4 linked regions of the Mus musculus genome follow. The protein of the gene in region 1 interacts with the protein of each later gene in a pairwise test. Links are inferred from orthologs where the notes say so. Each region holds a gene or a part of one and is shown in the gene's direction. Other genes may lie near its edges.

Region 1 (8,219 bases):
CCAGGAACCTATGCCTGAGCCTGCAATCAAGCCAGGAGTTGTAGTTGGGATGCCTCTTACCACTGAGCATCAAACAGTAGTTGAAGGCCTTTTCCTGCTTTGGCAGGAACAGTGGTAACTATTGGTAAATAGCCTATGTGGGGCCTGGTACCCAGGTTACTGAGCAAGCTACTTATTCAATTCTGCCCTGGTTTCCTTAAAAGAATACCAGGTTGCCTGCCTCATAATAGTGACTGAGATGTTGGGCCATATTCAGATCCCTGAGAATGGTCACATGATGGCTAGCGCAGGCTTCTGCTCAGATCTGCCCATAGAAACTTGACTTTAAGAAGCCTCAGCTTCTTAGGCTTCCCAGAATGCACATGGGGCAGGACATATCAATTAGGGTAGAGGTCTTCTTTCTCTTACCATGTACTGTGCAATGAGGGCCTGGCCTTCACTATCCAGTGTGGGAAGATCCTCTTTGGTGAACTCATTTGTGTTTCTGAAGCAATGGACATCCCTGTTCTGGATGGCAGACCGACCACTCAGGACTTCAGCAGCCACTGGAGCAGTGCAATCTTTACAGCTACTGCTGATATGGAAACAGGAGTCCCTGCTCGCAACAACAGCTAGGAATATTCACTGTTAGTATATCATTGGGCCCTCTGGTCTCCTGGAGACGGACAATATCAGCATCCAGTTTGTTCAAAATGTGTCTCAGGGCCATGGGTCAGTGGCTACTTTCCTGGAAACCCAACCCTTATATGAGCTTCATTGATGTTCCTGGTTATTACACATGACATTTAGCACAGGTGGATTGTCACAGGGAAGTTGACAAAGCTTCATACATCATAGCAGGACGTTTTTGGGTTTTTTGTTTGTTTGTTTGTTTTGTTTTTTTGAGACAGGGTTTCTCTGTGCAGTCCTGGCTGTCCTGGAACTCACTCTGTAGACCAGGCTGGTCTTGAACTCAGAAATCCACCTGCCTCTGCCTCCCAAGTGCAGGACTTCTTCTGTATTCTCCATTCATCTGTTGGTAGATATGTAAATAGCCATTTCCTGGCTATTTGGATAGTGGGATTCCTTTTCCTGACTTAAATTTTTATTTTAGGTCCAACACTAATTATAAACATGACTGAAGAAATTGATCTCATTTCTGTTTTTACTCTTAGTAGTGAATGAATGTACTTTGAACCAAGACATTTATTAACCAGGATTACAAAGCTACATTTCATAAAATTCTATATATACAGAACCTAAAACCAGGGAAGTGTTAGGGAAAATCATGCAGGAAGCTGTTACAACTTCCACTTAAGCCAAAAATTATGTTTCAGTGTTTTGTTTTGTTTTGTTCCAGTACAAAGAATGCATGTAACTCAGCAGTGCACTTGAAAAAAGACAAGTCCTTTTCAGTAGGTGAAAGAGCTATGGCAGAAAGCTCTTGAAACAGGTTTTATGTTGGAACCCATCTTTCATATTCCAATATATATGCATATATATATATATCCATCTCTGGCCCTTTAACTTTTTCAAAGGGCATACATGATAGAAGGCAAATGTAGCCTGTTCCACATATGAGTTTAGGTAGTGATTAAGTGTTTTGCAATAGTATTAATACCATAGCACTGGAACTGCCTATTCTTCTGAGTAGTGACCCTTCCTTTACCTGAAAATGTATAGACAAACTTTGCACCTGCTTTGTTTGGTGCTGGTATAGAGTACATACCTAATGCATTGTATAAACCAATAAAGCATAAAATGCAAACACAGAATGGATACTAGTTCAAGAAACTTTTGCTATGTAATGAATCACCTAAAAAGGCAGTGGTTTAAAACAACAGTGACACATTATTTTTCATGATTGTATATTGGCTCTAGGATGAAGTCGCATTTTTTGAGAGAATATCACTATGGCTGGGATAGTTAGGTGTCTCTTTCAATGTCTCTTTTCTTCCAGAATGAATAGGACCAGAATGTGTATGAATGCTATGCGGTGTATATGTGGGACACCACGCAGGTGCCTGGCTCCTGAGGAAGTCATAGAGGGCTTCATATTTGCTGGAACTGGAGTTATGGAGAGTTGGAAATCACCATGTAGGTCCTTAGACTCAAACTTGGGCTGTTTATTTACTGCAAGAGCAGTAAGTTCTCTTAACTAGCCATCTTTCTAGCCCCATTACATTTTAAAAGTTTTTTTTAAAAAAAGATGTGTGTGAGTGTGTATGCTGTGATTATGAGCTGCTTGGATGCTGGGAACAGAACTCAGGTCTTGTTAAAGCCATTTCTCCAGCAACCCTCACCAACATCCACCCCACCCAATTCTTTCTTAAAACTTAAACTAAATCTAGGGTGATATTACTTTGTTGGGACTACAAATTTGCTTAAAAACCAACAAAATCCATGGCAATCAAATATCTTAGTTATTAGAACATGCATTTAAAAGTTTCTACAAGCTGCTTCAAAAAGAATACAAGTGAACTTGATAATATAGTGTACTCATCCCACTATATCCAAAATACTATCAATGCCAACATAAAACCAATGTGAAACAGAAATTATAACATTTCTTATAAATTCTGGGAATGTAGTGTGTATTTTATTCACAGAACACACTTCATTTCAGTGCTCAGGAGCTAAAAGCAGCCAGTTGCTTCAGTACTAGACAGTGCACATGTAGACTGAACAATTGGAATGCAGGCAATCCTCTCTCCAGAGTAGGCATGCAGCCAGTATTTTTGAAAAGTGTATAAGAAAGATAAAGGGACTCTGCAAACCTTGAAGCAAAGTTTTCTATGTTCTACCGTTTTCTTTCTTTCTTTCTTTCTTTCTTTCTTTCTTTCTTTCTTTCTTTCTTTCTTTCTTTTGATTTTTTGAAACAGGGTTTCTCTGTGTAGCTTTGGCTGTCCTAGAATTCACTTTGTAGACCAGGCTGGTCTCGAACTCAGAAATCCACCTGCCTCTGCATCCCAAGTGCTGGGATTAAAGGCATGTGCCACCACACCTGGCTACCGTTTTCTTTAAAGTGTAGCTTTGGGGGGGTGGGGGTGGGGGGGACCGCACATCAGGAGACATGCCATTCCAGCATATCAAACCAGTGAGTGTAGGGCTTCCCGACTCCTAGGAAGCCTGAATCATCCGGGATGTTGACTCATCAGCCTGAGGTGAGTGAAAAATAGTGAACCAATTTTGCCTTCCAAGGCATCTATTTCAACGTTCCTTCCCCCTTCTCCCTTTCTGGTGACTCATTCTCCGTGCACTTTTAGAGTCCAGCAGAATGCAAGGCCGAAAGCATTCTAAACAGTGAGCCCAGAGCTCCGGGTAATCTAGCACAGCTGTTTTGCCTACCTCATTCCAGGCCTGCAGTCTAGAAAGGGAGGGAACTTGAAAGTGTCAAATAAATGTTTTGTTTTTCTTTCTCCTTTTGAGGTGGTGGTAGTTATGCGTTGGGACCATGTCTGAAAATAAGTCTTTTATCTAAAAAAATCCGTAAGACCTAATTCAGTCTTGTTAGTACCTTTCTCCACTTTTTTTTTTTTTTTTCCCTTTTCGGGGAGGAAACTTTCCACTCCTAGGTCCCCAGGATAACGCCCTTCCACAGGCTTCTTGGAAAACTCTCCAAATCCTGGGACCGCAGCCCGCCCCCTTTTGGTAGACTAAAATCCCGCTGTAGGCAAGGCCAAGTCCCCGCCCCATTCCCCAACTACACTAGGTGGGGGTGGATCCCAGCTCCAAACCCCGCCCTCCGAACGCCACCAAGGAAGTATGGCAGGCTCCGCCTGCACCCTATTTCTATTGGACAACCCCGTGATCCATCTTCTCTATCCCGCAGCCTATTGGCTCTCTGTCCCCCGCGCCAGCCAGCCCTCCCCTGCCGGGAAGGTGAGTCACGCCAAACTGGGCGGAGAGTCTGCCCTCCTCTCTCAGTTGCTCATCTGGGCGGCGGCGGCTGCTGCAACTGAGGACAGGGCGGGTGGCGCATCTCGAGCGCGGAGGCAGGAGGAGAAGTCTTATTGTTCCTGGAGCTGTCGCCTTTGCGGGTTCCTCGGCTTGGTTCGGCCAGCCCGGCCTCTGCCAGTCCTGCCCAACCCCCACAACCGCCCGCGGCTCTGAGGAGAAGTGGCCCGCGGCGGCAGTAGCTGCAGCATCATCGCCGACCATGGAAGACATAGACCAGTCGTCGCTGGTCTCCTCGTCCGCGGATAGCCCGCCCCGGCCCCCGCCCGCTTTCAAGTACCAGTTCGTGACGGAGCCCGAGGACGAGGAGGACGAGGAAGACGAGGAGGAGGAGGAGGACGACGAGGACCTGGAGGAATTGGAGGTGCTGGAGAGGAAGCCCGCAGCCGGGCTGTCCGCGGCTCCGGTGCCCCCCGCCGCCGCACCGCTGCTGGACTTCAGCAGCGACTCGGTGCCCCCCGCGCCCCGCGGGCCGCTGCCGGCCGCGCCCCCCACCGCCCCTGAGAGGCAGCCGTCCTGGGAACGCAGCCCCGCGGCGTCCGCGCCATCCCTGCCGCCCGCTGCCGCAGTCCTGCCCTCCAAGCTCCCGGAGGACGACGAGCCTCCAGCGCGGCCTCCGGCGCCAGCCGGCGCGAGCCCCCTAGCGGAGCCCGCCGCGCCCCCTTCCACGCCGGCCGCGCCCAAGCGCAGGGGCTCGGGCTCAGTGGGTGAGTGCTGCTGCGCGTTACGCCCCTCCCTCTTTTGTGTCTTGGCCCGGGGGAGGAGGGGACGGGCAGGGCTGCTCGGGACCCTAGGGCTTTGTCTACGAGTGGCAGGGTGATGGCGCCCCCGCTGGCGGGAGGCGGGCAGAAGGGTGGGGCGGCCTCGGAAGCCTGGGTGCCTTCATTGTTTGTCGGGGTTTCGGGGAGCACGTGCACCGCTGCCAAGTCGCTGGTTCCCATTCCAGCACGAAGTTCTCGCCTATCAGCAGCTAGGAGTGTGTTGAAGAACTAGGATGGTGGATTCCTTGGGCTGGGCTGGGCTGGGCTGGGCTGGGCTGGGCTGGGCTGGGCTTGGAGGTGGGAATGGGAAGGCTGTGGTGCCCTAATCCCTTTATTTAAAGGATGGGCGTTTGTCGACCACTCTACAGTTTTTTTATTTTTTAGGGCCTGCCTTCCTTCCTGCCGGGCGTCGGGGGATCCCCTTGCACTAATCCCCTGTTTCTTTCTCCCTTTATTGGTGGGGAACTGGCCGAGCTGCTAACGTCTATACAGTAACCCAACTGCGGTGAAGGGGGAGCGAGCGCCTCCAGTGGCGTGGTTCCAGGAGAAAAGGGAAGGAGAGACTTTTGGTGAAGTTCTGCCACCGCCCAGTTCATTTGTGTTTAATGTGGTGATTCCTACACCAGCCTGAGAAACGAGATCTGGGCATTTTGTTCCGATGGGGCATAGTTATCCAGGGCCTCAGTTGTGCTGTAAAAGAAATTGCCAAATTTAATGGCATCTCTTAGCCTTTAAATGCATCGAGATTGACTTGTAGAGAAAAGGCAAAATGGTTGACCTTAAAAAGGGGCAAACCTGTGGATTCCTGGTCAGGAATTAGTTGAACTTGTGGTAGATTTATCCTGAGACATAATGAAATGTTTTAGGGCAAATGTTCCTATATTAGTTAGAAGTTTTTATAAGTATATGATTTACATTGACAAAATGCATTGAATATTGTTTTATTGCCCTTTTTATTTTGGAAAGGGAAAAAAATCAAATTTTGTAAAGAACGAGAATGCATCTTAAGTAGTTTATTACTTTGGGACAAAGTGTCTTGCTAGCAAAAAGCCTTTTTTTTCTTTTTGTAAAGTAAGGTAAAAAATTAAATGGTATAACTGCCTGCTGGGAAATTTTCACAACATTCCAGATCTAGGAGGTTTTATTTTTTTAGAGAAATAATATCACCCCAGAGCTTGCAGTATCTTTTTTATTACAATTAACTCTCTTATAATGGGGATAATGAATCAATAGAAGTGATCCTGGGTAACAATTCATTATGGGCACACCAAAGGCACTATTCAAAAACAACTCCTACAGTAAAGAATTTAGATGAAGACTGCCTTGTCTTTTCATTTTTATTTTCCTTTCCTTTTTTTTGAGGGAAACTAAAGTAGAAAAAAATAAAGTATTAAAATTTTAAACTGGAAACAATGATTGGCCAAACTATACTTTTCATTTTTTCTACTTTCATAGAAACAAGATAAATAGTTTTGTCCTTTGAATATGGAGGGGACTCAGGCAGCATCAGCATTTTCTTGAAATACTGACAAATTTTAGAAGATTTAGAAATACTAACAAAGTTTAGAAGACAAAAGAGGAATGTTGTCTACCCAGGAATTTTGTACTCATTGTGTTTTTTGGAAGCTTTATTCCCTTTATTGAACACAACAACAGTGAGTTGTGGTTGTTGATATTTAACTCATCGCAATACATTAGATTTCTTAATGCACTGAAGAGTTTGGCTATTGGCTGGTCCCTATTATTGGTTATCTAGGACACTTTACAAAGTTCTGGGCTTCCAAGGTGTGGCAGTAAGCAAGACTCATGCTCTCCTCATGGGGATAATACACAAAATAAGCACACAAAAAAGTACTAAAAATGATGGTGTTATGAAACGATAACAGCTTGAAGGGATGAGAATAACTGAAACATGTGTACCCTTTTTTTTTCTTCTTAAAGATCTATTTATTTTATGTATATGAGTACACTGTAGCTGTCTTCAGACACATCAGAAGAGGGCATCAGATCCCATTGCAGATGGTTGTGAGCCACCATGTGGTTGCTGGGAATTGAACTCAGGATCTCTGGAAAAGCAGTCAGTGCTCTTAACCGCTGGGCCATCTCTCCAGCCCCATGAGGACCCTTTTCAAGGTTGCTTGATGATAGGAAAAAGAACTAAGGTTTGAGCTGCAGAGAAAAAATATATATATAAAGGAATTCCTAGGGCAAAGACCCTGAAGCAGGAGTGAGCTTGTTTATTAACTAAGATTATTAAGGAAAACTTATGCAGAGTCAGGTAGTTAGGAGCCTCTGGGGTCACGGTAATAAGTATGGCTTACAGAAATAGTATTTTAGGAATATGCTACTTGAATAATTACATTGTGATTTTGGAGCAAAAATGTAGTTTTGAAGGTTTATAGATGATTATAATAAAGACAAAGGTGAAAGCACTCTGTCCATGGTTAGAATAGACAAACTGGGAGAGGCTATATATAAACCCCTAGCAACTGTGTTTAACACTGCTATTTACATTAGTTTTTTTCCTTAACTCTGATATCCTTCAGTTAGTAAGTTATAGTTTTCCTGAATTGCAGTATCTCCATTGTAATGTATTGAGACCTGTACCTTTTACTTGATGACCATTTTTCTAGAAAGAATGGTTCATTTGTTCTAAGGAAACTTAGAGATTGATTTGAGGAAAGTGCAGACATCAGTTGACCATTTTTCTAGAAAGAATGGTTCATTTGTTCTAAGGAAACTTAGAGATTGATTTGAGGAAAGTGCAGACATCAGTTAAGATGACTAAGCTGATCTTTAGACACATTGGTAATGTGAATGAAAGTGTGTGATAGATTAACTGGAATTCTGAAGGGTATTAAGTCAAAATAAAGGAATCTGGATCTTATTATCATACTTTAATTCATAGTCTGCCGTGTCAAGCTGCTTTTATATCATGAAATCAAAATGGTTCTTCAAAAAAAAAAAAAAAAAAAGATTTGTGTACGTGCACAGGCCAGAAACAGGAGGGTATCTCTCTTGTTGAGTACAGATATGTTGGTATCCAGCTTGATAATGAGATTTTATGAGTTGGTTAGTCTGTTTTGTTTCGTTTCAAAAGAAAAAAGATTTATCAAGCTTCTGGTGATGGTGGTTTCAAGGCATGGCATCTGTCATCTACTTGGCCATGGTAAAAACCTTGTAGATAATGTCACAGTGGTGAGAGCCTGGACTAGAGGACCACAATTACATGGTGAGACAAGGAACCTGGGAGGAAGTAGGAACCAGTCTTGGCCTTTTATAACCATCATCTTGTGAGAACTCAGGTTCTAGTAGAACCTTTATTCTTCCTGGGATTACAACCCAGATTACAACCACTTCCCAGTAGGCTGTTCTCTTTTTGTCCCTGGGTATTGAATTGATGGCCTTGTGTTCTATAGTGAAGCCACTACTGACTGACTCACTTCTCCAACCTCTGCACTTTTAATATTAATGTAAGTTCTTTTATTTTGTGACTTGGGGTCTTTCTGCCACAGCTTATTG
Region 2 (8,107 bases), on another chromosome or scaffold:
CCGTCCTCATGGTTTGTCTTTTCTGTAGGGACATTTCTTGAGATGATTATGGTATGAAGAGCTCCAACTTAATGAGCACATTCATCCTTTCCTGGATTCATAAATGATGGCACTTGGAGGCTTGAAGAAGTGGGATGTTGGGGCCTCACTGTAGGAAGTAGGTCATAGAAGGTGTGTCCTTGGGGCCATGTCTTGCCCTGCCTTCTAATTAGATTCCTCTTTACTTTGTTCCCTGGTCATATTCTCATATTCCCATATTCCCTCTCCTCTCCTTTCCTTCCCTTCCCTCCTCTCCTCTTCTCTCCCCTCTCCTCCTCTCCAGTCTCTCTGTCTGAGAGTTCTCGGACACACCCTTCCCTGTGTTTCTGTAATTTGGATCTTCCCCCTCCAGCCACTCCCTCAGTCGCTCCTCTTCCCTCGGTAAGGGCACTAGAATCCGAGCTCAGCACTGACCATGGTTTTCATCCTTGTGTAATTTCACTTATCAGGTAAGTCTCTCACCTCTACTAGACATTGCAATTTATAGTGTTAAGGTTTCTAAAAAATATATTTATTTTATCTATGTATGACTGACTGTTTTCTTATATATTTGCATGTGCATTAAAATGTAGCAGATCCTCTAGAGCAGATGGTTGTGAGTCACCATGTGGGTGCTGGGAACTGAACTTGGGTCCTCTGGAAGATCAACAAGTGCTCTTAATGCCTGAGAAATCTCTCCAGCCCCTAGCCTTAAGTTCTGTGAAGAGACAAAAGAGCCAAAGTCTTGGCTTTTAATTTCAGAAGCTCAGGTCAACTACAAGACACAGATTTGCAAGAATGTGGGATGTTAAAGGGTCTGTTTTCCAGACTTTTAGGAGCGGGACTTCCTGGTCTTTTGAAAAATGGCCTTCATCATTGTTTGCATAGCTGTGAAGAGATACCATGACCAAGGCAACTCTTATAAGGATAATATTTAATTGGGGCTGGCTTACAGGTTCAGAGGTTCAGTCCATTCTTATAAAGGTGGGGAACATGGCAGCATCCAGGCAGGCATGGTGCAGAAGTTGCTGAGAGTTCTACATCTTCATCTGAAGGGCGGTAGGTTAAGACAGCAGGTTAGGAGGAGGGTCTCATTGCCCACCCCTACAGTGACACACTTACTCTAACAAGGCACACTTTCTAATGGAGTGGCACAAATAAGAAGTGGATGTCCAGGTAGACTGTGACAGACTCATCGTAGGTCATATGACAGGTTTTGTTTGTTGGCTCACTCTGCAGAGGTCCTTTCAGCACGTGGTAGACGAATTTGAAATGTGGTTACAGGTCAGGAAGTGACTGAGCAGGTAAAGACCCCTGTACTGAAGTGTAACAATCAGAGTTAGATCCCTGGGACCAACATGGTTAAAGGAAGAACTGACTCTCCACACACTGTCCTCTGACTTTTACATGCATGCTGTGGCATGTTCCCACACTAATAAAGAAATGTAATAAAAACATTTTTTTTAAAGGGATAGTTGTCTGGTCTATGAGAATAGCCTTGATGCTCTATAGACTTTCCTGTCTGTTCAGAATGGTGTGGGCAAATACTCATGTGTTTCCCTTCAAGGGCAATGGAAAAATTGAAGAGAAAAAGACTTGTGAGGAGTTTAGAGGTGGGTGACAGGGTGGGAAGCAGTGGCTGTCCCATGCATGAACTGGTAACTGGTGGCCACCCGTGAGTGAGATCTTCAAAGTGTGCCCAGGGGTGCCCAACATTTTGACACTGTGATGCTATTACACACACACACACACACACACACACAAAATCTCATACTTTTAAGTCAGTTTACAATCTTGTCTTTGACCACATTCAGAGCTCTCTTTAGCTGCATGTGACCTGTGGCTGTGTGGTAGATACTGCTATAGTGCTAAGGACAGATGGTACCCGATGCCTTTCGGTACACCTCCATGTTACCCAGTGCTTACCCCCAAACTTGCTTGTAACCTCTCAAGTGGGAGAAGGGATTACCACAGACAAACCTGGATTCATAGAATTGACTCCCTGAAATCAAACTTCCTAACAATGGCCACTTGGGTCAGAGGCTAAATTTGATTATACAGAAGAAAAGAATATATTTTTTTTCTTGAACACATTTGGATGTGTGGATTATCTATCTTATAGAACAATCATTTATCTCATGACAATAAACCTCATATCAAGTCCGCCCTCCTGAATCTCCCTTCATTTAGTGCCAAGCCTTCTGAGACTGTTGTCACACGTAGGACCTCCAATCTTTAAGTCCACTAGTTTCTTAGCCCTTTCTAGGTGTCGTCTGGTTCTACTGCCCACATGTCACTCATGAAACCCAGGCTTTGGGTCATCATTATCCCTCTTATAATTTAGAAAAACACTTTAATGACTAAAGAGCTTCACCAATGTTCTGCCCCTTGGAGCCAAACCCACCTCTCTACCTTGATGATCAAAATAGCTTAAGATGAAGATTTTCGAGCTTCAGACAGGTTCACAGTTCTTGAGGCGTTTTTAATGCTCTTCTTGTGTCTCTTTGTTTGGGGACCTACCATCACCACCGAGGGTTGTTAGAACTAAAACATGAACCTGGTGTCTATGCTTGAGAATCACATGTGCCGTAAACAGATTAAAATGAAAGCCGCAGCCAGCAGAATGTGGATGCGGTTCACCCTCATCGTGCTGACTCCCTCACCTACATCCTGTGGACTGATCAGAGAGGACCCTTTTGTTGTTTTCCGGTATTTTCCTTTGCCCACCTGGTCAGACGGCAACTGTTTCTGATTCTGCTTTGCACCTGAATTCTGTTGGTGCCCAGCGATGCCTGAGATGACGCCCACTGGCATCCTTACTGTTTGGGTTAAATGAGTGGCCTCAAGCCGACCAAAGGCATCGTGCCTGCACAAACAACAACGAAAAACAAAAACCCAATGCCTTCCCGTGCTTAGGCTTTGAGTTTGAGCCACTTGATGCTTCCCCATGTGGTGGTGGTTTCTCATTTGCTACTGGTCCCTAAATATAGCAAGGATCTTTCAGTAATTGGTTTATAGCATTCAACAAGATGTACTGCGAACAAACGCCCACAGGTGGACTCATTTCAAAGTCCTTTTAACCGCGATGGTCCTTGAGGCAATACTGATTGCTTTTCTCGTGGAGCTGGTCCTTTAATACAAGTCATCGGAGCCGCCTGTGGTCTGGCTCGCAATTATCCACTCGTTAGTCACCCATCCTGTTCACATCTAATTAGTTAATTGGCCATTTATTCACTAACTCATTAATTCACGCAGGTTTCCAGTTAGAGTCCTCCATTAAGTCGCTTAATAGAGATCTGATAGCCTACTACACACAAGGCTCTATTTTCACCTTGGAGACAAAACAAGAGGATGAGAGGAGTCTTGGTCCTCACACACAGGAGGCACCTGTGTGATCCTTGCTTCTCTCTCCCCCACCTGCTCCCTGCTTTGCTCCTTTGAGCTAGGGCTCAGGGTCGACATTGCTGGAAAGAAGCACCAGGCCCGGATGAATTGAAAAAAGCAAGGCAGGATACCAAGTGTTTGTTCAGCGGGAGAATAGAGCGGGCAAGAAACCTGGAGAGGAGCGGGCCAGGTTGCTAGCTGCTTTGTCTTAGGGAGGGATGATGCTACGGGCTGGGCAGGGCAGGTTCGGTGGCGGTCGGCTCCGCTAGGGTGTGGGGACGCTGGCGGGGGCGACCCAGCTGGCAGCCACCACGGGGCTCGGGGCGGCGCGACGGGGGCGCGCGGCGGGAGCGTCTGTGCGCGTCGCGGCCCTCGAGCGCGCGGGGCCTGTCGAGAACGCGCGCGGCCGGGCGCGGCGTGGGTACCCCAGCCGCGGGCGGCCGCCCTGCAACCCCCCGACGCGACCATGGCGACTGACAGTAAGTGCGGGGTTCCCCGGGGGCGGGGGCAAGGCATCCGGGGTGGCAAGTTCTCCTCCCGCGCGCGCCTGCCTTTGTGCCCAGCTCGCGGGGGCAGCGACCGGGTACCCCATCTCCGGAGCCCGCCCTTGTTACCGTGCCCATCACCTGCTATGGCTGACAGGACTGGATAGGGTTGGGGATCCGAGGACCTCTCAGGAGGGATGCAGCACCCGACTGGAGGGGACACTTGATGCTTGAAGGCAGCAGGGCTGGGCCTCGCAGCCCTTTGGGGACTGCCTCCAGGCCCACAGCCAGTTTTTAGGGAGCCCAGTATTGGGGCGCTGTGAGTTCAAGGTTTTCCTGGAGTTCTGGGTCAGATTGGCACGCCCTCTTCCTGGTGGGTGGCCCCACTGGGCTCTGTTCTGGGGCTCTGAAGCCACAGACCTTGCCTGGCTGCCATGGAGAGTGAATGAAAGGGGCGTGCAGAGAAGGAAGGTTGACACCGAAGACTGGAAGAGTTGCAAGGCTTCAGGCTGGCCTGCTGTTGGCATCTTGGAGTCTTTGCTGCTGTTTTTGGAAATTAGGGTTACCGCTAAGAAAACTGGTTACATGTAGCTGTAGCTTGACCTGTTAGTGGAACCTCAAAAGGAGTGCAGAGTAAAATAAGTCACAACACTTGTCTTAGACTTAGCATCTAAAGTCCTCAGCAAAAGTCATGGCACACAGTAGGGACTTCATTCACTGAATGTACCATGTGATTACAGACAATAATAAGGCAATTTTGAGAGATGAGAGGGGACAAAATAGGTGTTGAGGGTCAAAATTTCATTATTTTTTCCTTCAAACTTATCATTATTCAGTCAAGAACACAGCTTGCATACAGTACAGAGGATGCACAGTTTCGAGTTAAAAGCTATGATGACATTTTTATATCCCAAGTCCCTCAGTAGTGGGATTGTGGCCCTGTTCCCAACCTTAAAACTGTGGCTGTTGGATTTAAAGGCTCAAGTCAGTAATCCCAGGACTTGAGCGGCTGAGGCAGGAGGATATCAAGTTACAAACCCTGTTTCAAAAAAAGTATATGTATGTGTAGATTATGTGTATACACATGCGTAGTGAGCCTGCCATACCCGGGAAAGTGATGGGTATCTATCTCATAAGTAGTAGGCATGCAAGAGAAATGGACATGTGTGTGGTTGCTCACTCATCTCCCATTCGCCATCATTTCGTTTGTGTGGCGACACCAATGGACCCTCTCTGCTTTCTGTAGATCAGGGGGTGGCACAAAATTAACTACTAGAGACAACCCTTTTTGCTCTCAGCTCTGCTTCTATGGACAAAAGTATACACATTAGGTAGGTCTAGGGGGAAGAAGCTATACATTTAGATTTTTATTAACAAAGAAACAATTGCACTTGCCCTTATTTGTGTAAATGGTAACTAAAGAGTTCCAGCGATACAGAATTTCTATCTTCAGTTCTTCAGGTAAGGGGATGTCAGGTGAGAGGCAGGGGGACGGGGAACACCATCACACAGTGAGGAGATGGCCTCACTAAGATGCATCAAACCTGGGTACAATCTGCCTCGATGTTGCCTGATTGCTTTTGTTTCGGGGTTCTCGCCTCCTTACATTTCTCCTTGAGGGAAAACCCAGCTGTAAAGCCAGGCAGAGGGCAGCCTGTTGTGCTCTGTCGTTCTTGGAAGGGATCCCAAGGAAGCTTCTCTGTGATTATAGCTTGTGAGTATAGGTAGGACACAGAGGTATTTATATATATATTTGTCTGGAAAACAGTCTTTACACACAAAAAGGATGAGAACTCGGAGAGACTGTCCTGTGTCCAGACGCAAAGTCATAGATTGAAGGGCAGTTTCAAGAGAAGTTGGGATACTCAGTTGGTTTCCAGTAAGTTATTATGAAATGGTTACGCGCCTAGGTGTGCGTTGTAAATGGTGCTACTCAGAGGTATTTTGAGCTATGTTTGAGGTAATGGGTAATTTTGTTCCAAGTAGTTTCTATTTGTCTTTCCTGTGTGGCATTTGTTGCATTATCAATACTTTTTATCAAGGATCTTCACTTTTGAATCACTGTTGCCTGGTTGTTTTGAAGGTGCCTTTTTATATGTGCATGCTCATGAGTGCACATGGGGGGTGTGTGTCTATAATCTATCTTTAAGCATGCATTTTCTCAAGGGGCTGGAGAGATTGCACTTCAACTAAGTGTGTATTCTGCTCTTCTCAAGGATCCAAGTTTAACTTCCAGCATACATTTTGGGTGGCTCACAGTCACCTGTAACTCCAACTCCAGGGGTTTCAACACCCTTGTCTGGTCTCTGAGGGTCTCTGAAAATACCCCCTCATAAACACACAGACACATATAATTTTCAAAAATAAATCTTTAAAAAAGAAAAACATTCAAGACACATTGTATGAAAGTCTTGAGTAAATAGAATATTACTAAAAAAAAAAAAAAAGAAATAAAAAGAGTAAACTCTCCAGGACAGCAGGCATGCTTTGAGTGGTTGGAGATAGCTAACTGAAGTGTGCCCCCAGAAGTCTCGGGCAATCCTTGGGCTGCTGGATCTCCAGAGGTGTTGCAGTAAGTATTCTGTATCTTAAGGAGTTTCTCTGGATTGCTTGGGTTGTTCCTGGTCCATTGCATGGATGCTCATGAGTCACCGTTGCCTGGTCCATTTAGAAGCCGATTGCTGCTAACCCACAGGCAGGCAGTCTCTACCAGCAGTCATTCCTCCCCACTCCCCTTTCCATTTCCCAGCAACCTGCAGCTACTTTATCCTCATCTTTTCAACTCCATCAGCAATGTCTACTCCTCTCAGTGTGGAAGGAAGTGAGTGAGTCAGGGCAGGAGGAGGTAAATGCGGAGCCCTAGCAGGAAAAGTTGGATTTTTACTGCCAGATGGGTGCTTGACACGTTCTAGTAGAACGTGTAGACTCTAAAAGAAAGTTGCCTGAGTGCAAATAAGTTCATTATTGAGTAAAACTATCTTCAATCCCAGTAATGACTGAGACAAATGATGACAACTATAACTTTAGGCAAAGAGGTAGAAAATTACAGCAGACCTGGAAACTTGGACAATTCATTGGTGGTGCTGTCTTCTGCAGAAAACATTGTGTTCTAATAAACACCACAGCAATAATCAGTTCAAGCAAGAATCACCTGTGGCTCCTGAACACGCGTGTAAAGGGAGCAGTGTGCTGCTGGCTTTATGTCAACTTGACATAAGCTAGAATCATCTTAGAGGAGGCAACTGCAATTGAGAAAATGCTGCCCTGAGATCTTCATTAGTGATTGATGGGGGAGGGCCAGACCCATTGTCTATTGGATATCCCGTGTTGGTCCTGGGTTCTATAAGAACGTATTCTGAGCAAGCCATGGAGAGCAAGCCGGAAAGTAGCACCCCCTCCATGGCCTCTACATTGATTGGCTCCTGCTTCCAGGGTCCCGCCCTGTTTGACTTCCTGCCCTGGAGGATAAACAGTGATATAGAAGCATCAGCAGAGTAAGTCCTTTTCTCTCCAACGTGCTTCTGGTTGTGGTGTTTCATCACAGCAGAAGAAACCCTAAGGCAGTGGAATACCTAAACTCTTAGAAGAATTCCCCCACCGATATCTTGCTAGTTGTAAAAACAAAATGGTAGTTTTATAGTGGAGGAACCTGAGATACATTATCTTAAATAAAGAATTGCAACAACCTGCTGTCCTGATAGGAAGCTCTGGGGAAGGACAGGGTGCCGCTTACCAAAGATGTACGACCTGATTCTAATCACAAGGAGACGCCATTTAAACACGAACGGAGGCACATTTGTAGATATTAATGTCACGGGAGACTGCGGAGGCTTTATCCATGCTAAGGAGACAGCCAGGGCAATGGAGGATTTGAGGTTAAACCCTAGATCAGGAAGATCAATGCTGTAGAGAACAGTGTTGTGTTTAAGTATCCCATTTGCCTTGGGGCTTCTATTGCTGTGCTGAAACACCATAACCAAAAAGCACTTTGAAGATGGATCATGTTAATATAGGAGGCAAATAGCATCAGTGTCAAGTTTCACAAGTTTTATGTTTTTATTACATTTATAAGTGGAATGCACTTCTTGTTAGGGGAAGATGACATACTTAGGAAGAGGGGGCATCTATCTGCAACTAAATCTCGTGTGTTGAGGAAACACAAATATCTATGTACATGCGTGTTTATAAGTATGTGCGCGTCACATGAGCAAGAAAGGGCT
Region 3 (7,510 bases), on another chromosome or scaffold:
GCACAATATTGCCCTTTATCTGCCATTCCCTAATGCCCTTTTTCTGGTCTAGGCCCAAAATTCCACTGGTTGAGCCTAGAGCTTTTCTGTATTGTTATGCAGTTTATATTCTGCATGCCTCTAAGGGGCACTAGTCACATGTGAATTGTACATCTGACTATCTTGTATAACAGCTTTCCAGCAGGTGGCAGTAAAGTCCATGAGGACACAGTGGCTCTTTTCAACTTTGCAAATGTAGAAATCCGTTTATTTTCTTTCTGTGTAATAAAATTAGATTTATTAATTTTATTTATATAAGTGTTTGCCTATAAGTAAGAATGTATGTATGCATCATGTGTGTCCCTGGTGCCTATGGAAGCCAAAAGAGGTCTGTTACTCTCCTGGAACTGGAGTTACAGACCGTTGTGAGCCAATCTGTGGATGCTAAATTCAGGTCTTCTGGAACTGCTGAGCCATCTCTCCAGTCCGCTGTTGGTTACACTGGTAATTGTTTGTTTCCTTGAATATTTATTTATTTTATATATATGGGTACATTGTCACTGTCAGACACATCAGAAGAGGTCACCGGATCCCATTACAGATGGTTGTGAGCCACCATGTGGTTGCTGGGAATTGAACTCAGGACCTCAGGAAGAGCAGCCAGTGCTCTTAACAGCGAGCCATCTCTCCAGCCCTACACTGGTAGTTTTTAAGAATATAGATTAGTTATTTTGTAGGACATTTCTCCAGGTAAGTTTGTCTAGTTACCTTCTCTTTTTAAAAAGGTACATGTTTGGGGCACATATCATCAATTTGTTTGATTGGTTGATGACATGAAACCTTTCTGCATTCTGTATTGAAACTATACTTATAGACATGAGAACTCGACATAGGTGTGTGCCTGACTTTTGACTATAGGAATTACCCTGCTTAGCGCTGGCCCTTTTAGGTCTCCTTCATGCAGTTCCCTGTATCGGCTCAGTTCAATCATGTGCACCTGACTGGAACCCTGTTTTCTCCCGATTTGCAAAATCCACTACCTGGAACTCAGTTTCCCAGCAGGAATCTCAAAACCTCTCCTTCCTAGTAAATCACATAAGTTTGTTGCATGTAGGTAATAATACACTCTACCTGCACTGGACTTGAAACAGCTTTAGGGAGATGGTGCCATTTTCTTCACTTTACAATGGAGAATGGCTTAGAATGGTGAAAAGTAGCACAGGTAGAAATGGCCAAGACTCAGACTCTCATCTGTCCAACTCTAGAGGCCTTGTCCATTTTTGTAAGGCTGGACAGTTTAGCAAGACCCTGTGTCTTAAGAATAAAAACAGTCAGATATGTGTCACAGGCCTACAATCCCAGCTCGTAGGAGATCAGGAGTTAAAGGTTGGGTTACAAAAAACAACCCATAATAACAAAATCAAAAGTAAAGAGGTGCCAGGATACTAGGGAGATAGATGGCAGCCAGTAAAGCACAGCACAGCCAAGGTGGTCCTGGGTTCTCTAACTTCTATTCCCCCTCTCTTGGCAGTGCACGATCTGATTTTCTGGCGAGATGTGAAGAAGACTGGGTTTGTCTTTGGCACCACACTGATCATGCTGCTCTCTCTGGCAGCCTTCAGTGTTATCAGTGTGGTCTCTTACCTCATCCTGGCTCTTCTCTCTGTCACCATCAGCTTCAGAGTCTATAAGTCTGTCATTCAAGCTGTGCAGAAGTCAGAAGAAGGACATCCATTCAAGTAAGTTTGCTGAGATAGCACATGTCTGAAGTTCTAACCTGTCTCTTACAGATAGATGGCAAAAGCAGTCCCTAAATACTTGCCATCACCCTAAGAAGTAATTAGGTTAGTATCTGAGAACTTTTAACTGACTAGAGACTCACACTTAAGGCTAATAAATCCAGAGCTATAAATCCAGAGCAGGGCACAGAATAGCTTGCCCAGGGCAGCCCTCAGTCAGCCATTGTGTCCATGTTTCAGTACTATATAGTAACAGCTAGAAACAGCTTTGAATTCCAAGTTCTAGAACCAGGGGGTTTTATTTCTGATTTTCTTTAACTCTAGTGCAGTTTCCCTGAGTCTAGGGGCAGTTATTTTTACCCTTTAAAATAATATTTATGTATATGGCTGTTTTACCTGTATGTATGCCTGTACAACATATGCATGTGGTGCCTTTGCAGGCAAAAAGAGTGCATCTGGTCCCCTGGAACTAGAGTGCGGGTTGTAATTATAAATTAATATAGTAATTGTTGACTTAGTGAATATATTTTACAAGCTCAGATATCTTTTTGTCGGGAGGGGGGGTGTTAGAGACATGGGACGGTTTGGAGACAGGGTTTGTTTGTTTTGTTTTGTTTTGGTGGGACAAGGTCTCTGTGTGTCTCCCTAGCTGGCAAAGAACTCACTGTGTTGATAAGGCTGGCCTCAAACACAGAAACCCACCTCCCTCTGCTTCCATACCTGGAAACATCTCATGTTTAAAACCTTTATATTTATAAACAGGAAAATGAACACATGCCTCTTACTCTTCTGCTCTTCCAAGAGTTTGAGCTCCTCAAGATGTCTTCAAACCTGATAAGCAGTAGACGCTCAGTAGCTGTTGTGTGAATGAACAGGTTATGAGCACAGGCTTACCCCTCAGAACAAGAATGCCAGACATGGTCACTGTGGCATGCCAAAATCGCAGCATTTGGGAGGCCAAGGCAAGCAGAGCTCTTTAAGTTCAGGCCAGCCTTATCTATACAGTAAGTTCTAGGGGCTATGTAGTTGAGACCCTTTGCCTGCCTATACACCTACCACCACCCTTTTTTTAATCTCAGCCTCTGAAAACACAGTGTGTTATATAGTTTGCAGCCCTAACATATTCATGATTGCTACCCTCCTCAGTCTTTCCTTTGCTTTTTTAAACTATGCTCCCTGCCCACAGCTTGGAGATTGAGCCTAGGACCTTACACATACAAGGCAAGTGCTCTACCATTGAGCTCTAGTCCCAGGCCTTTTTTGTTGTTGTTGTTGTTGTTGTTGTTGTTAAGTTTTTGTTTTGATGGTGATTGCTTGACACAAGGTCTCTCTACGTAGCTTTGGGTGTTCTGGAACTTGCTAAGACAAGGTCCTAGCCAGCAAGATGCTCAGCAGGTAAAAGCTTGACAATCTAAGCTTGACAATCTGATTTCAGTCCCTAGGACCCACATGGTGGAAGGAGAGAACCAACTGCCACAAACTGTCCCCCGACCTCTACTTGTGCACCATGTGTGTACCCACTGTTTTAGACAATGTCCTATTGCTGGGAAGAGACAACATGACCACAGCAACTTTTATAAAGGAAAACATTTAATTGGGACTAACTTTTGAGAGGTTTAGTCCTTTACAGTTCAGAGTTTACTACAGTTTAGTCCATTGTTATGGTGGGAAGCATAACAGTGTACAGGCAGACATGGTGCTGAGACCTCTGTCTGGATCCACAGGCGACCAAAAGAGGCAGTATGAACCACTGGGCTTGGCTTGAGCTCCTAAAACGTCAAAGCACACTCCTAGTAGGCCACATTTTCTAGTAGTACCACTGCCTATGAGCCTGTGGGGTCATTTTCATTCAAACCACTACACACACACACACACACACACACACACGTACATACACATGTGCATTAAAAATAAAACAGTGTATTTGGACAGTAGGTCGGTAGGAAACTGTTAAAGAAAGAGAAAAAGAGAAGGACAGGATAGGGCCAGAGAAATGACACCCATGGTAGTTCTCTGAACTCAACATGCATATACACACAAACACACAAATGAATTTTTGGTTTTTACTTGTTTTATAATGCTGGGGATTGAACCAGGATCTCATGCATGCTAGGCAAGCCCTCTGCTATCTGATGTACAGAGTGTATTTTGATATATCTACACCAGATAGTTCTTCATTGTACATTCATAGATAACTGGCATATTAGCTTTTATCGAGTAAAGGACAGCTGTGTCCCCTACAGAGTTCTAGAATGCTGATTTCACACTAAAATACCACTGTGCTGTTGAAGAATTTCCCCTTGTGTGTCACATGTGCGACTGTTTTTTCTTCCTCGGAAGGGCCTACTTGGATGTGGACATTACCCTGTCTTCAGAAGCTTTCCACAACTACATGAATGCTGCGATGGTGCATGTCAACAAGGCCCTCAAACTCATTATTCGTCTCTTTCTGGTAGAAGACTTGGTTGACTCCTTGAAGGTTAGTTGCTGGGCTTTAATTTAGAGGTAAGCCGGGCAGTGGTGGCGAATGCCTATAATCCCAGCACTTGGGAGGCAGAGGCAGGCGGACTTCTGAGTTCGAGGGCAGCCAGGACTGCACAGAGAAACCCTGTCCCGAGGGGGGGTGGTAAAATAGGGCATATATAGGGTTTTATCAGAAAAGAGAAAATAACTATCAACAGAAAATGCTGCCACCTACCAGCATTAGACCAGCATTAGACCAGCGGTCATCAGCTCAGCACCCTGAAATTATGGACCCCAAGACAGTGAGTTTTCTGACTATAAGTGCACATGGGGGAATCTGTGTCATAAAACACTGCATTGATGCAAACCTAGTTAGCTTGAACTCGGGGGTATGTTTATTCTTATTTAACCCTCTGACACTGACCTTCACAGCTGGCTGTCTTCATGTGGCTGATGACCTATGTTGGTGCTGTTTTTAATGGAATTACCCTTCTGATTCTCGGTAAGGTGACAAGGAAAGTGTGTCTTTGTGCTTATTTCTTTAAAGACTTGTAAGACTAAGTGTAAATGCCGGGCGTGGTGGCGCACGCCTTTAATCCCAGCACTCGGGAGGCAGAGGCAGGCGGATTTCTGAGTTCGAGGCCAGCCTGGTCTACAAAGTGAGTGCCAGGACAGCCAGGGCTACACAGAGAAACCCTGTCTTGAAAAACCAAAAAAAACAAACAAACAAAGACTAAGTGTAAATGCTGAGCTAGATGGTACAGACCAATAATCAAAGCTGTTCAAGAAGCTGAAGCAGGAGAATCAATCCTTCAAGGCCAGCCTGGCTAACCTAATAAGGCCCTGTCCAGGGCAACCAGGCATGATGGTGCATACAACTCTGATGCCCTCACTAGGTAGACAGACACAGGAAGGTCAGGAATTCAGCATCATGTTAAGCTTCACAATATGTTCTGGGCCCACTGAGGACATAAAAACCATCAATAAAGTGAACAGCCACAACAATGTAGCTGAGGACTGGAGCACTTTGCTACAGATCACGTATGCAGTGTGATCTCTTACTCTGTAGAGCCAGCCTGTGCATTTACAGTGTGGTAGACGTTAGTGTAGCCTGGGCTTGTGGCCGAGAGCTTATTAAATGCTTTCACAAAGGATTTCAAAGCAACCGTGAATAAAGAGCACTGTTTAAATTTGGTTTAAATATGGGGACCTTGCTTTTAGAAACCACTTGTAGTTTAGAAGTTGACACCTGTCATACAAAGAAAATAGCCTGTTAGGGGTTTTTCAACACTACCCTTATCTGCTCTCTCCCAGCTATCCTCAATTTCGAGAGCTCTTATTTTTCCTTTTTGATTGTTTCTCTGTACTTCATGAAGAAGTGTCTGTGCTGCTTGAGTCTCACGTTTGCACTTGCTGTGTTTTTATTGTCTTACAGCCGAGCTGCTTGTCTTCAGCGTCCCAATTGTCTATGAGAAGTATAAGGTAGGCATTTATCTGTGGTAGATATGCTGAGTAATGTGTGACTGGCTTCAGTTCATTTTAAGGAAAGTAAAAAACGGATAGCAAGAGAGACTGGAGGCCTAGATAGATGTTCTGAGTCATAGGGATGAATTGCCCATTCCAAAAAGGAAGGTAAAAAAGATGATTTGTAAAGCTAATCTTCTAAAAACTAAACTGCACTTCCAAGGAAATGTTAGTGTGAGCAGATGTTTCCATTGTGGACGGGGTAGATTATCTCTGCATCTGAAGACCTTTTGGGAGTGTCAGGGAGATGGCTCAGTTGGTAAAATGTCACACAAGCATGAGAACCTGAGTTCTTATCTCAGGCACCCACATAAAAATACCTGGTGTTAAATGTACACCTGCAACCTGAGCCCGGAGGAGGATCTCTGGGACTTATTGGCCAGCCATTCTAACCAAATCAGTGAGCTATAGGTTTAGTGAGGGACTGAACTGTCTCAAAAAATAAAGTAGATGCCTAGGGATGTAGGTTAGCTGGTGAAGTACTTGCCTAGCCCTAGGTAAATTGTGTCTAGGGATGCGCATCCATAGCATGTGGGAGGTGAGTCAGGAAGGTGAGAGGTCCATGCTTCAGCCTTATTTACATGGTAAACTGGAGGCCTCATCTTTAAGTTAATTAAATTGATTAGTTAATAACAAGATAGAGAGCAATTGAAGAGAAACCTTAGATCAAAATTTTGCCTCCAAAGACACATGCACACTCATACACATATGCACTAATATGCACATATAAAAAATATTTTTGGCTCTTAATTATTAAATGAATTAATAATGCCCAGGAGTCAAAAACACATCACAACTACAGAATAGATTAAATCTGCAATTTCTAGTACTTAGAAAAGTACTTCAGTGTTACTACAGAAAATACCACATAAGTTCTACTTGTACAAATGATGTGTAATTTTTATTTTGAAGTGTTGTTGAAATCTGAAAACAGAACTTTCACTTCTGAAAAACTGGACATCATTTTTATTTTCTGGGATAATGAATACTGGGATTTTTTAATACTTGCACTAAATAAGAGAATAGTGCCTTTTGGGGGAAATAAGAATATTACCAAAATATATATTGTATGAAATTTTTCTTAGCCCCTTTATTGCCCAGCTGAGCCTTCTTTCCTTCCTTTCTTTCTTAAAGACACAGATTGACCACTATGTTGGGATTGCCCGGGATCAGACCAAGTCAATTGTTGAAAAGTAAGTGTACTTAGGGACCACGTTCACTGTTTCCCATGTGGACTCCTCTCCCATATTGTTTAGTCTCTTATATAAAATGTTACTGTCAAACGTAACTAGTTTTCATCCTGAATAAAACTTTAGCTTTGTTGTACTTAAGAAGCATCTTTGGGCTTTGTGGTGGTGGTTTGGTTTGTTGGGTTGTTCATTTGGTTTAGAGACAGGGTCTTGCTGTGTAGCCCAGGCTGGCCTCAAACTTAATATCCTACCCTCCAGCTCTCAAGATAGAAATGATCAAGGTAAATACTTTGGCTGTCAAATATGTTTGGTTATTTAACCCTATTTTCATATGTATCCAAGTTAAGGCAATCTTTCCTGTCTTTTCTAGTAAGTAATAAAAAGCTTAGATTCCGTCATTGTGGTGAACACCTGGAGTACTTGAGAGGCAGAAGCTGGTGAAGTTGAAGGTCCAGCCTGAATTCCAAGATAGCCAGGGCTATGTAGTGAGAGCCTACCTCAAAAAGAGCAAACAAAAATCCCTGTTTTGCTTTTTAAAGTTCTATAAGATATCATGAATTTTTTTTTTTTTTTTTTTTTTGGTTTTTCGAGACAGGGTTTCTCTGTGTAGCCCTG
Region 4 (7,191 bases), on another chromosome or scaffold:
CTCTCTCTCTCCATGTCTCTCTCTTGCCACAGCACCCTACAAGATGATCCTTTTTTTATTTTATAGATTTATTTACTTAATTTTTTTCTTTATTTATTTCGAGGCATGTTTTTTCCCTGTAGCCCTGGTTGTCCTGGGACTTGTGTTGTAGACCAGGCTCAAACAGAGATCCATTTGCCTCTGCCTCCCCAGTGCAGCATCCCTAGGGATTAAAAATGTGTACTACCCCTCCTGGCTTATTTACTTAAAGATTTAAAACGTAGTTGTTTTTTTAAAAAACAAAAACATCTGTGCACTCTCCATGCAATACCAAAGGAGGCCAGAAGAGGGTGGTAGATCCCTATTGATTGGAATTACAAGCGCTTGTGTGCCCTCACGTTGGTGCTGGGAATAGAACTTCTGTCCTCTAGAAAGCAGCCAGTGCTCTTAACCTGAGCCATCGATCCAGCTCCAGATTTATTTAATTTTATATGTATGAATATTTTGCCTGTATGTATGTTTATGTACCAAATACAAGCCTGGTGAGATCAAAGGTCAAAAGAGGTCTTGAATCTCCTGGAATTGGACTTAGAAATTATTTCTATCTGCCATCTCAGTGCTGGGAACCAAACCCAGGTCCTTGGCTACAGCAGCGAGTGCTTTTACCTGCTGAATCATCTCTCCTTGTTTCTGGCTGATGTACGTGTCTGTGTGAATGTGTAGCACAACTGCGTGTGGATGCCTGTTGAGGTCAGAGGAAGGTGCATCAGATCTGATCCCCTGGAGCCAGAATTACAAACGATTATGAGCCACATAATGTGGGTACTGTTCTGGGCACTGAATGTAGTGCTTGGAAGATCAGGTCATGCTCTTAACTACCGAGCCACCCCTCCTGTCCCCATCCTTAGATTTTAAATGGGCATCTTAATCATGTCTGGTTTGCTGAGATCTAGAAAAAAAAAATGGAAAGGATGTTTTGAAAACTGTTGATTCTAAACTGTACAACCTTACTGTAAAACTCCCATAAGCATAATAGCAAAAACTAAGTGTTACTTCTGTCTCGGGCCAATTCTGTTCTTCCAGAGTGCCCAACCCCACTGCTAACTCTGTCTTCATGGGTATGAGACATTGTAGCTCCTCTCTTTTTTTTTTTAAAGATTTATTTATTTATTATATGTAAGTACACTGTAGCTGTCTTCAGACACTCCAGAAGAGGGCATCAGATCTTGCTACGGATGGTTGTGAGCCACCATGTGGTTGCTGGGATTTGAACTCCGGACCTTTCACCAGCCCGTAGCTCCTCTCTTAAGAAGAACTGGATCCTGGGACAGACTCTCATTTTTTTTAAATGATTTATTTATTTTTACTTTATTTTCTGTGCATCGGTGTTTGACACAGCCAGTGCTCTTAACTGCCAAGCCATCTCTCCAGGAACCATCTCTCCAGCCCCTAGACTCTCATTTCCTGAGAAGCATAGTTTTGTTTTGTTTTGTTTTGTTTTCCTTTCTGAATACCAGGACGTGGCCCTAGGGAGGAACTGGGATAGAAGTTGAGTGCCAAGCCTAGGGGTGAGTGTCTTTACCCCACTTAAGAAGCAGAAGCAGCCACATCTCTGTGACTTTGAAGCCAACCTAACCGTCAAAGCAGGTTCTAGGCAGTTCTAGGCCTGCCAGGGCTACAGAGGGGAGCCTTGTCACTGCTTAAAAAAAAAAAAAAAAAAAGGAAAAAAAACCCGCCAATTAAAAAAAAATAATAAAGTTGGGAGATGATGGAGAGATGACTCAGCAGCTAAGAACACTGCTGCTCTTCCAGAGGCTCTGAATTCAGTTCCCAACTAACACATGGTGGTGCAGCTCACAAAACATCTGCTGGCATGTAGGTATACATGCAGATAGCACTGCTAATTTTAAAAAAAATACAAGTAAAAAAGTTAAAAGGTAGCCGGGCAGTGGTGGTGCACGCCTTTAATCCCAGCACTTGAGAGGCAGAGGCAGGTGGATTTCTGAGTTCGAGGCCAGCCTGGTCTACAGAGTGAGTTTCAGGACAGCCAGGGATACACAGAGAAACCCTGTCTCGAAAACAACAACAACAAGTTAAAAGGTTTAAAATAATAATAATAATTAATAATAAAAGTTTGTCTACAAAGTGAATTCCAGGACAGCCAGGGCTATACAGAGAAACCCTGTTTCAAAAAAACCAAAATAAATAAATAAATAAATAAAAGTTGAGTATAGGGCTATCTAGACATTCAGTATACTCACGTTTATAAGATAAAGATACAGTTATACAAAGGAAAATTTTCTCAAGGAGCTGAGGATGTAACTCAAGAAGTCCTGAGTTCAATCCTTAGTATCAAAAACAAATAATAAAATAGCTTAATTTAGTAGTGCATGCTGTAATCCCAGCACTTGGGAGGCAGAGGTCGAAGGATTTGGAGTGCAAGGCCAGCCTCTGCTACACAGTCAATTTGAGGCCATCTTAGGCTACATGAAACCCTGCATGCAGAAATCCAAAAGAAAACTTGCTCCAAGCCTTAAATCCAGGCCCATTTATCCCAGCATGCCCATTATTCTGAAAGACACTGTGAGGGGTGGCGCAGTGTTGCCTGTCAGGCTCTGGTCTCACCTGGCTCCCACCTTTCCTTTCTCAGTTCATCTCAAAGAAGGACCCAGAGGATATCAAAGAGGTGAGTGTGGCTCCCAGGAAGAAGGGCTGTTCCTGTACACATCAGCATCAGTAAGGGAAGAGCTGGTAACCAAGGACAGCCTTCTTCCCTGACCTGTGCTGGAGAGGGTGTGTGCAGTCCTTCTCGGACTCTAGGATACACTTAGTGTGGGAAGGCCACTTTCCACCGTGCTGGTCCAGGTCAGTTCTCAACTGCCTCACAGGTAGTAGTCTGGAAGCGGTACAGCGACTTCCGTAAGCTCCACGGGGACTTGGCCTATACTCACCGAAACCTCTTCCGTCGCCTAGAGGAGTTTCCGGCCTTCCCCCGTGCCCAGGTGTTTGGTGAGTATTGACTCTGAACCTCTCTGCCCCAGTGTGCGGGCAGCAGGGAACTGGTCTGGTGGGAACTGTGAGTGTGATGTTGTACCCTGAACAGCCATCTTTGGAAAACTAGATGGGCCTTCTCAGATGGCCTCATTGAAATATGGGGAAAGTGAGACTCTGAGCAACCTCCCCTTTATTGTGTGTCGGGCTATGAACAGTCCCAGCAAGATGAGGCTCGTCAAGGTGAAAGGCCTTTGTCTGAGCCTTAGTCTGTTCTCTGTTTCGATAGCACAGAGGATGCATTAGTTACCATAGGAACGATGCTTATTTTGACATATGGCTCTGTTCCAAAGTTCAGAGGCCACATCTGCTGATGGCTCTGTTGCTGGCAGAGGCCTAAGGTAGCAGGGAGAGAGTCAAGGAGGACATGAGGGACAGAACACCAAGCTAGCTTTTTTTTTTTTAAAGATTTATTTATTTGCCGGGCGTGGTGGCGCACGCCTTTAATTTAATTTAATTTAATTTAATTTAATTTAATTTAATGGGGGAGGGGGCAGAGGCAGGCGGATTTCTGAGTTTGAGGTCAGCCTGGTCTACAGAGTGAGTTCCAGGACAGTCAGGGCTACACAGAGAAACCCTGTCTTGAAACAAAACAAAACAAACAAAAAAAAGATTTATTTATTTATTTATTTATTTAATGTATGTATGTGAGTGCACTGTCACTGTCTTCAGACACACCAAAAGAGGGCGCCAGATCCCATTACAGATGGCTGTGAGCCACCATATGGTTGCTAAGAATTGAACTCAGGACCTCTGAAAGAGCAGTCAGCACTCTTAACCGCTGAGCCATCTCTCCAGCCCCCAAGTTAGCTTTTATAGCAGAGAACCCAAGAGTCCACTCACCCATTAACTACAGGAGTTCTCAGAGTGTGTTGTTGGCAGGCCACCCCAAGCCAATGAGACCATCATGGAGAGTAGGCTAGAGTGCTGGCTGTGCCCCCAGTACAACAACAACTAAGGTAGAGCTAGCCTATACTACATGTAGCTTTGCCATTTGTTGTTGGTTTGCTTCAGTTTTTGTTTTTTCCATTTTCTTGAGACAAAAAAAAAATCTCAAATGTAGCCCAGGCTAGCCTTGAACTTCTAACGATCCTCCTACCTTAGATTCCCAAGTATAAGCTAACAGGTGAGCCCCACCTTGCCCAGCAGTGGGACAGCTTGCTCTGTGACCTTGGGCAAGTCACCTCCTTCTCTGAGCTTCACTGCCCTCCTGATCGTATCCAAGCCTCAAATGGCCTTTCCTGTCAGACATGATAGCCCACACCTTTAACCCCAGCACATAGAAGGCAGAGGCAGGTGCATCTCCGTGAGTTTGAGATCTTCATAGCAAGTTCAAAAGCCAGCTAATTACAAAATGAGACATTAGCCGGGCGTGGTGAAGCATGCCTTTAATCCCAGCACTTGGGAGGCAGAGGCAGGCAGATTTCTGAGTTCGAGGCCAGCCTGGTCTACAAATTGAGTTCCAAGACAGCCGGGGCTACATAGAGAAACCCTGTCTCAAAAAAACCAAGAGAGAGAGAGAGATTGGAGAGAGAGAGAAACAGACAGAGAGGGAACAGAGAGAGCGAGCCTGAAGCCCCCCCACCCCACACCAATACACACACTGCTGCTCTCCTGCCCTGGGGTCTGCAGGGCGGTTTGAAGCCTCTGTGATCGAGGAGCGGCGCAAGGGCGCGGAGGACCTGCTGCGCTTCACGGTGCCCATCCCTGCACTCAACAACAGCCCCCAACTCAAGGAGTTTTTCCGGGTGAGTCTGTCTGCTCGCCACCCCCGCCCCCAGTCAGCTCCCTTGTACTGCTTCCCGCCCTGCCAGCCACATTCCTGACCCCTCCCCTGCTGAACTTTGTCTCCTGCAGGGCGGGGAGGTGACACGGCCCTCTGAGGTGTCCAGGGACCTGCGAATCCTGCCACCCCCTCTCATCCCCACACCACCTCCGGATGAGGCCCGGCTACTTCAGCCGCTGCCTGCGGAAAGGAGGGGCCAGGAGGAGTTGGAGGTGCCAGGTATCTCAGGGTCAGGGAAGGAGTGAGTCCTCCTCCCACAGGGGAAAACATAGGGGTGGGCAGTCCCACCGTCCTCCTGGGGAGGACCTCTGAACAGGTCATCTTCCCTTCTGAGCTCAGTTTGCTCACCTATCAGATAGGATCTGGCAACCTATTGGTGGCCCTGTCAATACCCATGGCTGCTGCAAGGGCTAATCAAGACTGTTTTGAAATCGGAGCAACAGTAGGTACAGACATCTGTCCCTCTGGTCTCTCCTCAGTGGATCCCCTCCCGTCCAGCCCTGCCCAGGAGGCCTTGGACCTTCTCTTCAGCTGTGACAGTACGGAGGAAGCTTCCAGCTCCCTGGCTCGAGGTCCCCTCTCTGAGGCTGAACTTGCCCTTTTCGACCCTTACTCCAAAGAGGGTAAGGAGCAGGTGTGGGGTAGCGGAACTAAGGGGTGTGAAGGGAGACCCTCTGTGGCTGTGAGCAGCTCTGGGAGGAGCCCAGGAGGATGGAGCTGGAGGATGGAGGGAGTCCTCCTCTCCGGGCAAACTCTGGGTAGCATATCACCATAGGGTCCTATTGCTCACAGACTTGCTGTGTCTGGCCTTGGTGGCACGCACCCTGCATCCTAGCACTTGAGAGGCAGAAGCAGAAAGACCAGAAGTTCAAGGTCATGGGCCAGCAAGATGGCTCAGAAGGTGAAAGCCCTACCTTATGAACCTGGCAACCTGGTTCCATCCCAGATTCCACTGTAAATGATTAAAACAAACAAACCAACCCAGAACCTGTCCTCCAGCCATGGCATGCTCACACCTGCACTCACGCCTGCACTCATACCTGCACTCACGCATGCACTCACGCATGCACTCTCCCATGCAGCAGTAATAATCCACTAAGCCGTTACAAAACCTCCTGAGCCAAACCAAGGAAACAGATCCCAGCTGCTTCCTTCTACTCAAGTGAATTCAGTGGGACAGTTTGGTGTCCTGGGGTGGGCAACAGGCCCTGAGAAAGAGAGGGCCAGTCTGCCCTCACTCCTCCCTGTTTTATTACAGAAAGTACAGGCCCCAGCCCTACCCACACAGGTGAGCTGGCAGCCATTGAGGTAGAGTCCAAAAGGCTGGACCAGGAACCCTGGGAGCCAGGAGGACAGGAGGAGGAAGAAGCTGAGGATGGAGAGCCTGCCCCAGCTTACCTTGGCCAGGCCACAGAGCTCATCACTCAAGCCCTGCGGAATGAAAAGGCTGGCGCCTACGCTGCTGCTCTCCAAGGCTACCAAGATGGGGTGCACATTCTTCTGCAGGGTGTCTCAGGTGGGTAGGGCAGTAGGGAGGAGGGAAAGTAGAAAGCAAAGGACCAGGGGAGGTGGTGCAGTCGGTAAAGTGAGTGCCGTGCAAGCAGAAGACCTGAACTAAATGCCCAGAGCCACACATAACAGTGTGCACCAGCAGAGACGGTTCCAGCAAACGTACCCATGACAAGATGGGAAGCAGGGACAGGAGAATCCCCAAAAACTCGAGGGCAGCTGAACCTGGCATAGGCTGCAGAGAACAGAGAGATCTTATCTCCGACAGACGACAGACACGGTGATAGGGGAAGACCTACACCCAAGGTTGCCCGCTGACCCTCCCGTGCTCACTCACACACATACAATACATTCTAAAGAAAGAAAGAGGGACCGTGAACATCTGTTTCTCACAGGTCAACTGGAGACACTGGGCAGAATTTTCCCTTATTTTTTTTAATAGCCTCATAAAATGAGGCAAAGACAGGAGGACCCAGGGAGGGAAAGGACACATTATGACCTGGGTTCTGAATGTAGGTGGGCCATCTGCTTCCTCCAGGTGACCCATCCCCTGCCCGCCGGGAAGGTGTGAAGAAGAAGGCAGCCGAGTACCTGAAGCGGGCAGAGATGCTTCACACACACTTGCCCTAAGGGGTGGACCCTTCCTGGGATGTCAGCTCCAGCACTGCCAGCCACCCCCACTGCTCTCTTTGGGACCTGGCCGTGCTTCCTGCTCGTATGACTACCAGGGGCCATATCTGTATTAACTGGATCAAGTATAAGAAAAGCAAAGACTTCTCAGCTCTGACCTGCCTGCCTCCTTGGAATTAGACTTGAACTTCTGATCCTGCCTATCTGTTCTATGTGAGTGGCATCTGGGCCCCTAA

Evidence for each region.
Region 2: the proteins of Rtn4 (region 1) and Syt16 interact in binary tests that used the Homo sapiens proteins (3 or more experiments, as listed by UniProt). The link is inferred for Mus musculus from reciprocal best matches to the Homo sapiens genes RTN4 and SYT16.
Region 3: the proteins of Rtn4 (region 1) and Rtn3 interact in binary tests that used the Homo sapiens proteins (3 or more experiments, as listed by UniProt). The link is inferred for Mus musculus from reciprocal best matches to the Homo sapiens genes RTN4 and RTN3.
Region 4: the proteins of Rtn4 (region 1) and Snx15 interact in binary tests that used the Homo sapiens proteins (3 or more experiments, as listed by UniProt). The two-hybrid records come from large-scale screens. The link is inferred for Mus musculus from reciprocal best matches to the Homo sapiens genes RTN4 and SNX15.

What each region holds. Positions count from the first base shown.
Region 1 is NC_000077.6:29,689,051-29,697,269, forward strand, and holds the start of Rtn4 (reticulon-4), read left to right. Parts: upstream 1-3,847; 5' UTR 3,848-4,138; coding exon 4,139-4,643; intron 4,644-4,723; exon of another isoform or gene 4,724-4,755; coding exon of another isoform or gene 4,756-4,912; intron 4,913-8,219. UniProt on the Homo sapiens protein: Required to induce the formation and stabilization of endoplasmic reticulum (ER) tubules. They regulate membrane morphogenesis in the ER by promoting tubular ER production.
Region 2 is NC_000078.6:73,993,983-74,002,089, forward strand, and holds the start of Syt16 (synaptotagmin-16), read left to right. Parts: upstream 1-3,794; 5' UTR 3,795-3,868; coding exon of another isoform or gene 3,869-3,881; intron 3,882-8,107. UniProt on the Homo sapiens protein: May be involved in the trafficking and exocytosis of secretory vesicles in non-neuronal tissues. Is Ca(2+)-independent.
Region 3 is NC_000085.6:7,429,139-7,436,648, reverse strand, and holds part of Rtn3 (reticulon-3), read left to right. Parts: intron 1-1,510; coding exon 1,511-1,718; intron 1,719-4,058; coding exon 4,059-4,197; intron 4,198-4,613; coding exon 4,614-4,683; intron 4,684-5,616; coding exon 5,617-5,663; intron 5,664-6,839; coding exon 6,840-6,898; intron 6,899-7,510. UniProt on the Homo sapiens protein: May be involved in membrane trafficking in the early secretory pathway. Inhibits BACE1 activity and amyloid precursor protein processing. May induce caspase-8 cascade and apoptosis.
Region 4 is NC_000085.6:6,119,627-6,126,817, reverse strand, and holds part of Snx15 (sorting nexin-15), read left to right. Parts: intron 1-2,629; coding exon 2,630-2,665; intron 2,666-2,867; coding exon 2,868-2,988; intron 2,989-4,662; coding exon 4,663-4,778; intron 4,779-4,887; coding exon 4,888-5,035; intron 5,036-5,295; coding exon 5,296-5,439; intron 5,440-5,608; coding exon of another isoform or gene 5,609-5,658; exon of another isoform or gene 5,659-6,024; intron 6,025-6,074; coding exon 6,075-6,332; intron 6,333-6,863; coding exon 6,864-6,955; 3' UTR 6,956-7,191. UniProt on the Homo sapiens protein: May be involved in several stages of intracellular trafficking. Overexpression of SNX15 disrupts the normal trafficking of proteins from the plasma membrane to recycling endosomes or the TGN.